Linked DNA regions of Ovis aries. The protein of the gene in region 1 purifies or fractionates together with the protein of each later gene. This does not show direct contact. Links are inferred from orthologs where the notes say so. Each region holds a gene or a part of one and is shown in the gene's direction. Other genes may lie near its edges.

Evidence for each region.
Region 2: the proteins of SLC34A2 (region 1) and ENDOD1 purify together in Homo sapiens (co-immunoprecipitation; 3 studies listed by BioGRID and IntAct, counting the BioPlex papers as one, with this or other methods). This does not show direct contact. The link is inferred for Ovis aries from reciprocal best matches to the Homo sapiens genes SLC34A2 and ENDOD1.

What each region holds. Positions count from the first base shown.
Region 1 is NC_056059.1:45,770,571-45,775,223, forward strand, and holds the end of SLC34A2 (sodium-dependent phosphate transport protein 2B), read left to right. Parts: intron 1-1,036; coding exon 1,037-1,663; 3' UTR 1,664-3,414; downstream 3,415-4,653. UniProt on the Homo sapiens protein: Involved in actively transporting phosphate into cells via Na(+) cotransport.
Region 2 is NC_056068.1:14,968,697-14,973,816, reverse strand, and holds part of ENDOD1 (endonuclease domain-containing 1 protein), read left to right. Parts: intron 1-3,982; coding exon 3,983-5,120. UniProt on the Homo sapiens protein: May act as a DNase and a RNase. Plays a role in the modulation of innate immune signaling through the cGAS-STING pathway by interacting with RNF26.

The sequences.
Region 1 (4,653 bases):
AAAACAGGAACCATAATCTCTAGCTCTGTAGGATTATTTTAAAGATCTGATGAGGCTCTGTCTAAAGCCATGCTGTTGATCAAAGTATAGAATGAGTATAGAATATGTGAATCACTCATGAAATCTGAAACTTTTAGGACTTTTAGTTTTAAAAGTCAAAAAGGAACAGGGAGATTAATTTTAATAATGTGTTTGATTGAACCATTATCATTTCAACATGTAATTAATGTTAATGAGATTTTATATTCCTTTATTAAAAATTAATTTATTAATCCATTTATTAATTTGCTTTTGGCTGCACTGGGTCTTTGTTACTGCACATGGGCTTTATCTAGTTGCAGTGAGTGGGAGCTCACTTTGTTGCCTTGAGTGGGCTTCTCATTGTGGTAGCTTCCCTTGTTGTGGAGTGCGGCCTCAGTAATTGTTGTGCACAAGCTTGCTTAGTTGCTCCATAGCATGTGGAAAGTCATTTACAATTGTTTTGGACTAAATCTTGGAAATCCAGCGAGTATTTTACATTTAGGCCACATCGCAGTGGATAGTGACTAATGCATTGGATAGGGCTGGTCCAAAGCCCCTAACATCATGCACAGTTCCTGGTGGAACATATAAGAAAGTACAAAGTATATGGCCTCTGGAGCCAGGCTATCTGGGTTTGAATCCCATCTCCCATCTGTATGATTTGAGGAAAATAGCTTAACCTCATAGTGCCTCAATTTCTCAAAGTTCACTGTTAGATTTTGCCTAACGGAAACTTCAGGCCCTGAAAACTAAACTGTGATTCAGGTGGTCACTTCCCTTGCCTTCCCCTCTCCCCACCTGGCCGGCTCCCCCCCCTCCCCCCCCCCCCCCCCCCCCCCGCCCACCCCCCACCCCCCGCCCCCCAGCGACACACATTAGGCCCTCAGCTAATGTAATCCCTCCCACTCTGGGCTGAGCTACGAAGGTGAGGAAGACCCATGACTCCACTTCTAGATGACGCCCTCTTCTCTCTGTGAGGCAGACCCATTCACCTCTCCAACCCCTTGCTTTTCAGATCGCCCTGTGCCACTTTTTCTTCAACATCTCAGGCATCATCCTGTGGTACCCAATCCCATTCACTCGCCTGCCTATCCGCCTGGCCAAAGGGCTGGGCAGCGTCTCAGCTAAGTACCGCTGGTTCGCCATCGTCTACTTGATCATCTTCTTCCTCCTGATCCCTCTGGGGGTGTTCGGCCTCTCCCTGCTTGGCTGGCCGGTGCTGGTGGGCGTGGCGTCGCCCATCGTCCTTGTGATCTTACTGGTGGTGGTCCTCAAGATCCTGCAGTCCTGCTGCCCTGGCTCCTTGCCCCAGAAGCTCCGAAGCTGGGACTTCCTGCCCTTGTGGATGCGCTCCCTGGAGCCCTGGGACAAGCTCATCACCTCCCTCACCAGCTGCTTCCAGAGGCGCTGCTGCTGCTGCTGCCGCGTCTGCTGCCGCGTCTGCTGCGGGCTGTGCGGCTGCTCCAGGTGCTGCCGTAGCAGCAAGTGCTGCGAAGACCTGGAGGAGGTGAAGGACGAGCCGGTCAAGCCCCCTGAGGCATTCGACAACTTGGCCATGGACAAAGAGGCCCAGGGTGGGGCCACTAAGTGTGAAGTGGAGGCCTCAGGCACCAAAATCGTTTCCAGCATCACAGCCTTGTAGGTAGGGGCTGCCTGGAGACGGGGGGGAGGGCCCCATAGTCCACACGCTCTGGCTCCCTCTTGGTTCTTCCTCCATTTCAGGGGAATTCCTTCCCCATTGAGAAATGACATCCATCCCAGCTCTCATTCCCTTGGCCCAGTGTATCAAGCCCACACAGTAGTTCCATCCCAGCCCCACGCTCCCTGGGCCTTCGAGGCTCGGGAAGGCACAAAACGACACTGAAAGAGAATTAGTGAAACCTGGCCGGAGAGATGATCGCAATTTCCCCAGCACACAGCTGGGTTGGTCAATAGGGCTTTTTACCCCCTGACCATCCTCTTCCAAAGGAAAAGCCCCAAGGGAGGAATTTAAGGAAGGTTCTCAGAGGTGCGTATTCATGTACACTTTTCTTTATTATGATCCAGCTCAGGCATCTCTCTTTTATCAAAGACCTGCTTCAGTCAAGAGCAGCTGCTCCCATACAGTCCAAGGGCAGCCCAATTCACGGGAAATGGTGTAACTGTCTGGGACTTGGAGAAGACCATCGGTGTGGCCTTTTCCCCTTCTTAGTGCTCCTCACATCCCCTGGCAGGGTTTTCGTAAAAGATCAGTGCTGTCCCTGAGCTGGCAGGTGGAGGATGAGTGCTGGGAATTGGGGAACATTTGAGGGAGATGGTTCATCTCTGCCACAAGAGCCTTGGGTGCTTCTTAACCCAGCTAACCCAGCATATGTTCTGGCTAAAGCCTAGTGCTGATAAAAATCACCCCTGCTGAGTCTTCTGGAGTAAGATATGCCGGCCGGTTCTGAGTCCCCTCCATTCTGCCCCCTGAAACATAAAGCACCTGAGCGTAGGACAGCTCTACAGCTCTCTGTGCCCCTTGGCTCCTTGTACAAAATGACTATCTGGGTCAGATTCCGCCCATATTTGCACCCACCCCTCCTTCCCTCAAAGCCAGAACCTCTTTCCAGACATTGTCTCATAGTCCCATCCATAAATGAACTTTGCTCATCTGCCCTCTCTCCACGTCTGCAAAGCTTCAAATTTTTCACTGAGGGTAGAAACCAGGGCATGGCTGGACTGCCCACAGAACCATGATCTTCAAGTGGCAGTGGGGTGCGTGCATGTCTGTGGATCCAAGAAGTGCTCCTTCTTGGCCCAGAAGCCTTCTCTGTGCCTTTGAGAGCCCCCGTTGTATTATTATTTGCACCTCTTGCCTTTGCTTCTTACCCTCAACAAACCTAGTTCTCCCTGGAGAGTGAGTGAGCTTCAATCAAGCCTGGGAAAGGGGATCAATGCAGCCGTGCTCCCAGACCCTGTTCTTCCCCATTCTAGCTTCTCAATCACTTTAGCAGGTTGGGATACCAAACTGAGCCTTCCCCTGACCTTCCCTGTGTAGATACAGATTCCCAAACAGAGCCATTTATACTCTATATTTATACTCCTGCAACTGTACAGCATTTTTTGTAAGTTATATAGTAAGTAGTACTGTGATTTGTGTTATGTAGCGCTCTCATTTGGAAACCAGGCCAGGTTCTACTAAGAAAGACCACCTTTGTATATTTTGTAATGCAGCCTTTTAAACGTGCTTCTGCAGCCACACCCACACCACACACCTCTCCAAATATGTAAATACGTAAGTTAAATCTGGGCAGGGCTGTGGTCCTCTTTGTACTCTGATTTTAAAAAATTGGATCCTTGTACCTGCGTTGTTTCTTTTTTTAAAAAACTGGTTGTGGGAAGTGAGAGAAATAAAAAAGATAAAACCCCAAAGGAGTGAGTTGTTTTCAATCTTAGGGGAATAAGGACCTCCTAGATCTATTTCCAAAACATTTGAGGTCGTTCCCTCATTTAATGTCACTACTCAGCAACAGCACCAGCTACGTAATTTGTGGAGTCCCTCATTCGAAATGCAGGAAAAAATGCCAAGTTTTCCTCTCGACCATGGTCCCTCTTTTTGACTTTAAAAAAAAATTACTATTCAATGCTAAGTTGACATTTTAAAATTATTAGTGTGAATTTTATGGTTCCTCTTAATATTGTGATGCCGGCTTTAAACGCAAGCAGGACTTCCTGGTGGCTCAGATGGTAAAGAATCCGTCTGCAGTGCAGGAGACCCAGGTTCGATTCTTGGGTTGAGAAGATCCCCTGGAGAAGGGAATGGCAACCCACTCCAGCATTCTTACCTGGAAAATTCCATGGACACACCATGGAGTCGCAAAGAGTCGGACACGACTGAGCAACCTCGCTTCACTTCACTTCAGATAAAGCAAGAACTTTTAAACTCAAATGCAGTATTCCTAGAAGCACACAATTCGTGTCTGTTAGCTCGGACACGTATTTTGTGTCCACCAGAATAGCAGGGACACTGCACAGAATTCACTCAACTGTTTTCATTTCTCTTCTTGTTTGTGCACATTCTGCTGACGTTCCCTACCTTACTGATGAGTAAGGAGGCAATGAAAGGGAGAAGTCGAGGTTACCCTTTCCTTCTGTGTCAGCATTTTCAGCCTTGAGTGGATGGCTAACACAGGAAAGTAACAATGGTGAGGAAAGAGCTGATATGGCTTCTCAGTTATTTCTTGTGTTGTACTTGGACAAAGCTCTGGTTTGAATGGGAGGCATGGCCTCTTGGGGGCCCTTGCTTGATCAGTTATAGATGTAGCACCTACACTTTGAGCCTTGCAGTACTCCCACTTGTGAGCTGCTGGAGTTTTGTACTCATGCATGTGTGCTAAAGCTGATTTAGTCGTGACCGATTCTTTGTGGGACCCTATGGACTGAGGCCACCAGGCTTCTCTGTCCGTGGGATTCTCCATCGCATTGCATGCAGGTGGATTCTTTACTATCTGACCCACCAGGGCATTGCACATGCTCTCTCGGGGTGGGAGAGAACTGCAGGCATGCACACTGCCCATCTGCTTCTGCTCCATTGCCCCATGGCACTTAACTTACAAAGTTAAGTTAAAAGAAAAAATTGTTAAGAATTTCAGGACCCTAACAACAGAGCAT
Region 2 (5,120 bases), on another chromosome or scaffold:
CATGGGGTTGCAAAGAGACAGACTGAGCAACTTCCCTCGTAAGACTGTGTTAGGTAAGCCTTGAGAAATCTATTATTTTCTATTTTGATTTTGACTGGTAGCATCCACACTGATTTATGTACAGTATATACATCACTGTATTGAACTGTGACCAGACAAGACAATCCTAGAATGCCTGACAGTTTTTCTCCATGACGTTTCACTGTGCTTACTGTTCTCTGTTATAGCTGCTGGTGTAGAGAAAGAAAGCAAGTAGCCAAGTAAGGTGCTAATAGAACCAACGTCTCCGGGAAACCAGCCAGCTGCCCACTTTTTAAGGGTAGTAGTATGCTTCCTCCATAGCGCAGTCGGTAAAGAGTCTGACTGCAATGCAAGAGACGTGGGTTCGATCCCTGGGTCAGGAAGATCCCCTGCAGAAGGAAATGGCAGCCCACTCCAGTATTCTGGCCTGGAGAATCCCATGGACAGAGGAGCCTGGCAGGCTACAGTGTATAGAGTCGCAAGAGTCGGACATGACTGAGCGACTAAGTGCAAGCTGGAAACTACTCTGGCTGGTTGCTCCTGCCTGAGCTGCCACCTTCCTTGGCTTGTGAAGCTGGTGGCTGAGCTTCTGTGTGCTCTGGGCAAAGGCAGAAAGGAAGCCTGAGGGCTGGTCTGCATGTGTGCCCATTCACCTTCCCCTTTCCACTCTCCCTTCTTTCTGGGGATTGCAACCCCAGGGCGCTCAGACCGGCTTCTCTCCCTGTACATTTAAGGAATTTCATTTATTCTGTGTCATAGAGAGAAAAGGAGACTGTGATTTCTTTTTCTGTTTGGTTTTCTACTCTCTGGCATAGAAAACTGGTACAGCAGTGTCCGTTAATATGCGGAAAGCATGGCTTAGTCATAAAGAATGTGTACCTTAGGAATAAAATGACTGACCTCAGTTCAAATTCTGTCCTGCTAATTTTTGGATGACTTTGGAAAAATTCACCTTTCTGTGTTTTAGTTTCCCCACCTGTAGAATCAGGTAGAAAAAAAAGACCTTCTGTAACATTATATTGAAATCATTTAACTGGTAGTTAAGAAAAATTAGTCCTTGACCTCCTGCTGTATTGCTATATAGGTACCGGATACAGACATTCTATCTTCACTTCCAACACTATATTCTACCCTGTCATCAAACCATAGGGCCAATTTGGGGTTCATAACAATACATGGATGTGAGGTTCTGAAGAAGGCCAGGAAAAGGGAAAGGAAGACGTGCTCTCTCCTGCCTGTGCATCTGGACCACATCGTCTAGTCTCTGCTTTGCCTGCAGAGGCTCAGGGCAGGGAGGTGCACAGGGCCCACTGCGGAATTAGGTCCCGACCTCCGCAGTCACCTCGGTTCATCCTGGCCGGTTCCCATGTACCTGCGAGCTGTGGGCAGGAGAGACTCCATTATGGCAGATACCTGGAGCCCATTGAACTCAAGTGGCCTGAGAGGACGTGGAAGCCCCTGCCTTAGTCTCCTCTGACCTTAGCCACGGGAGACCACGCTCTGAAGTTTGGGAGTAAATCAACCCACAGTTCTGGTTTCTAAGAGCAGGATGTTGTAGGCTGTCTCTCACACATATGCACACACACACACCCAATCTCACTCTCTTCTTTTCTCCTCCCTCTCTTTTATCCCTCCCCTTTTCTTTCCCTGCCTGGCCCTTTTTGGTTCCTTCCCCTTCTTTATCTAAGAATCTCTTTTCTCTGTTTGTGTTCCAGCCTGCCTTCTGTCCTTGCAGGCATTATTTCATCCCTGGGTGGCTCTTGGAAAGAAGATGAACCAGTGTGTTGCCCTATGCTCTGTCACTGGCTACCAGTAAAAAAAAAGAACAAAAAAAACCCAAAACCCAGCTCCAGGTTTCCTCTAGATGGGATAAAGAAGCCACACCAAGCTAAATGCAGACACAGTACCCTAGTAAGCAGGGAGAATAAACAGGCACCCTAAAATTCCTGGCCTTCCACCCAAGACTCTACAATCTTGGCTCTGCCGTACCTTGATCTCATGATTCAGGAATGAGGCAGATATTTCCATGAGTTGTATCTTCTGGCTATAGGAGAGCAAGGGCAGCTTTACAAAATGGGTGAGCGTCTTATCGCTGTCCTCTAGGGGTGTGGTGGGAGTGGGGACCATCCAGGATCATTTCTAATTTGAGTCTGGGGGCAGGGATGGAACGACCTTGAAAGGTGAGGCTATGGAATACTCCATTAGCTTTCATGACTATTCCTGCTTTCACACCAACTTGCTCATTCGTTGCCCTCACTAATGCTACACGTGTGTGCATGAGCATGCCTACTTTTGCTGTTGCAGAGCTGGAGAAATGTAGAGTGGGTTGCCCTCCCACGTGAGGTACAGCAATCCACATGGCCTTGGCCCTCTTGGGTTTAGCGAGTAGCACCAACTCTAGGGAATCAATTAGTCAGAATTTACTTCTTTTAATTCATTTCTTTTTTTCCTTTTGAAACTAACATATAAATCATCTGTGGGTTGATGTAGGTAAGAGCTGAACCAAGAGAAACAAGAAAACAAGGGAAAAAATGTATCGCTTGTATCCTTAGGAGTCGATCAGCCATAATGGACATTTTCATGTGTTTCAAACTTTTTTCTTGCTCATTTTTAGGCTTAAAAAATTGTTATCATTTAATTTTATAATCTGCCTTTTCCTTTCAAAATTATAGCACATATTTCCCTGTCACTACAAGTGCTTTTTAATGGCTTTGAGATATTTCCTTGATGGATATAACACCATTTATTTAACTGTTGCCGGTTTTTGAAAATGTAGGTTGGTTCAGCTTCCTGCCATTATAAATACTGCAGTGATCAGTTAATACTGATCTCAGATTAACAAGAGTGCCTTGAGATTCTCAAGTGGTAACGAATCTCCCTGCCAATGCAGGACACATGAGTTCGATTCCTGGGTTGGGAAGATTCCCTGGAAAAGGAAATGGAAACTTATTCCAGTATTCTTTCCTGGAAAATCCCATGGACAGAGGAGCTGGGCAGGCTACAGTCCATGAGTCACAAAGAGTTGGACATGACTTAGTGACTAAAAAACAAGTTGAGATTCTAGTATGTGTCAGTCCTTGACTGGGTCCTTTGTACAGGATCCATGGTGTCAAGAAATTTATAGTCTAATTTGGGAGCTAAAAACAGAGTTTGGGGTCAGTCCTGAGCTCTTTCCTTTCATCTTTTCAGATTGGCAAAGTGACATATATATTATACTGCTGAATTTAAAATGAATAGAGCAGAACTAAGAGGGAGATATATATAGTTATTGATATTTAGCAAATAGCTCAATAGGCCTAGACAGAAAATGCATTGTTAATAATTGCAAATATTATGAGGAGATGAAGTTCGAAGAGCAGCTGGTCAAATTCTATCTTGGCCTGGGAAGTATCTAATATAACTGACAATAATCTATACATGTCCCTCTATTTGATTTAAATTCTCTGATTAGAGTTGATTGCTCTTTGTATATCCCCAAATATGCAAAATTCACTTAAGACTACGTTCTTTAAATTGCAGCTCACATTGGTGGCTGATTATCTGAATTCAAGTTCTGATTTTTACAGGCCTGCTGAGATTTACTTTTCCCCTTGCTTTCGTTTTTGCAGTCAGTTTGAATCTCATGGAAAAACATTCCCGGAAAAGGGCATGACGTTTATAAAACCGCAGCAGATTGAAAACTGGTGTTCTGATGGTGTATTTGTGTGAGTGTGGGATAGGTCATTACTGTAGGTCAAGAGTGGAATAGACACAGAGAGTGGAAGAGGATATAGCCAACTTGAAAGATGCTTTCAGACACTAGGGTTGTGGGGTATTAGGACGAAGTGTGTGTGTACTTCCAGACCAAAGCGTTGGAAGTGTCTGTATAGTAGGGACTTCACTAGAGTCTGGGCAGAATGGTCCGAGGACCCCCAGTCTGCTGTGAACAGGGACGCATCTCAACCTCGCTCTCTCCTTTCAGATTGATGACCCCAATAGCAGCCTGGAGGAGGTGACGGATGAGGCCGAGGCCGTCAGGTCTGTGAGCAAGCTGGGAAGCAACCAAGCCTTGAATGCAGATTTCCTGGGTTCTGATTACCGGACCGGGCAGCTCTACCCGTTCTCTCTCAGCACTGACCCCCACTCGGCCACCTTCACTCTCACAAACGCAGCTCCGATGACCCCGTCCTTCCAGGAAAGGTGGTACATGAATCTCAACAGCCTGATGGAGCGAGCTCTGACCCCACAGTGTGGCAGTGGGGACGAGCTCTACATCATCACAGGTGCCGTGCCCTCGGACCTCAGGGTCAGCGACAGAGTGAGCGTCCCGGAGTTTGTTTGGCTGGCGGCCTGCTGCGCGGTCCCTGCTGGAGGCTGGGCCATGGGCTTTGTCAAGCACACCCGTGACCGGGAGGTCATCGAGGATGTGATGCTGAGGGACCTGGAGAAGCTGCTTCCATTCCACCTTCAGCTGTTCCAGAACAACTGTGGGGAAACTGACCAAGACACAGAGAAGATGAAAAAAATCCTGGAGGTGGTTAACCAAGTCCAGGACGAGGAGCGGAGGCTGGACTCTGAGGGCGGCTCCGAGATGCTCTCCAGCGTGAGGGGAACCAGGTCTGCCCTGCCTCCTCCGGAGACATCTGGGGAAGGGAGTAGTCTTCTGGGAAGACTCCTGGGCTTTGTCGTTACCCCGTTGATCAAGCTCTGCCAGTTAATTTATTACCTTGCCTTTGGGATCCTGAAGTACACTGTGTATTTCCTCTGGTATGTCACCAAGCAGGTGATTAACGGTCTAGAAAGTTGCCTTTATCGCCTGGGGTCAGCCACCATCACCTACTTCTTGACCATCGGGGAGGAACTGGGCAGCATTCCCTGGAAGGTCCTCAAAGTCACGGTCAGGATCACCAGGGCCGTGCTCCGGATCCTTTGTTGCCTGCTGAAGGTGGTCTGCCGCGTCGTGGGTGTCCCTGTCCGGGTGCTTGTGGACGTGGCCACGTTCCCCGTGTACACCATAGGCGCAGTTCCGATTGTCTGCAGGGACATTGCCATGGGCCTTGGTGGCATCCTCTCTCTGCTCTTTGACACGGCTTTTGGCACCATGGGTGGTCTATTTCAGG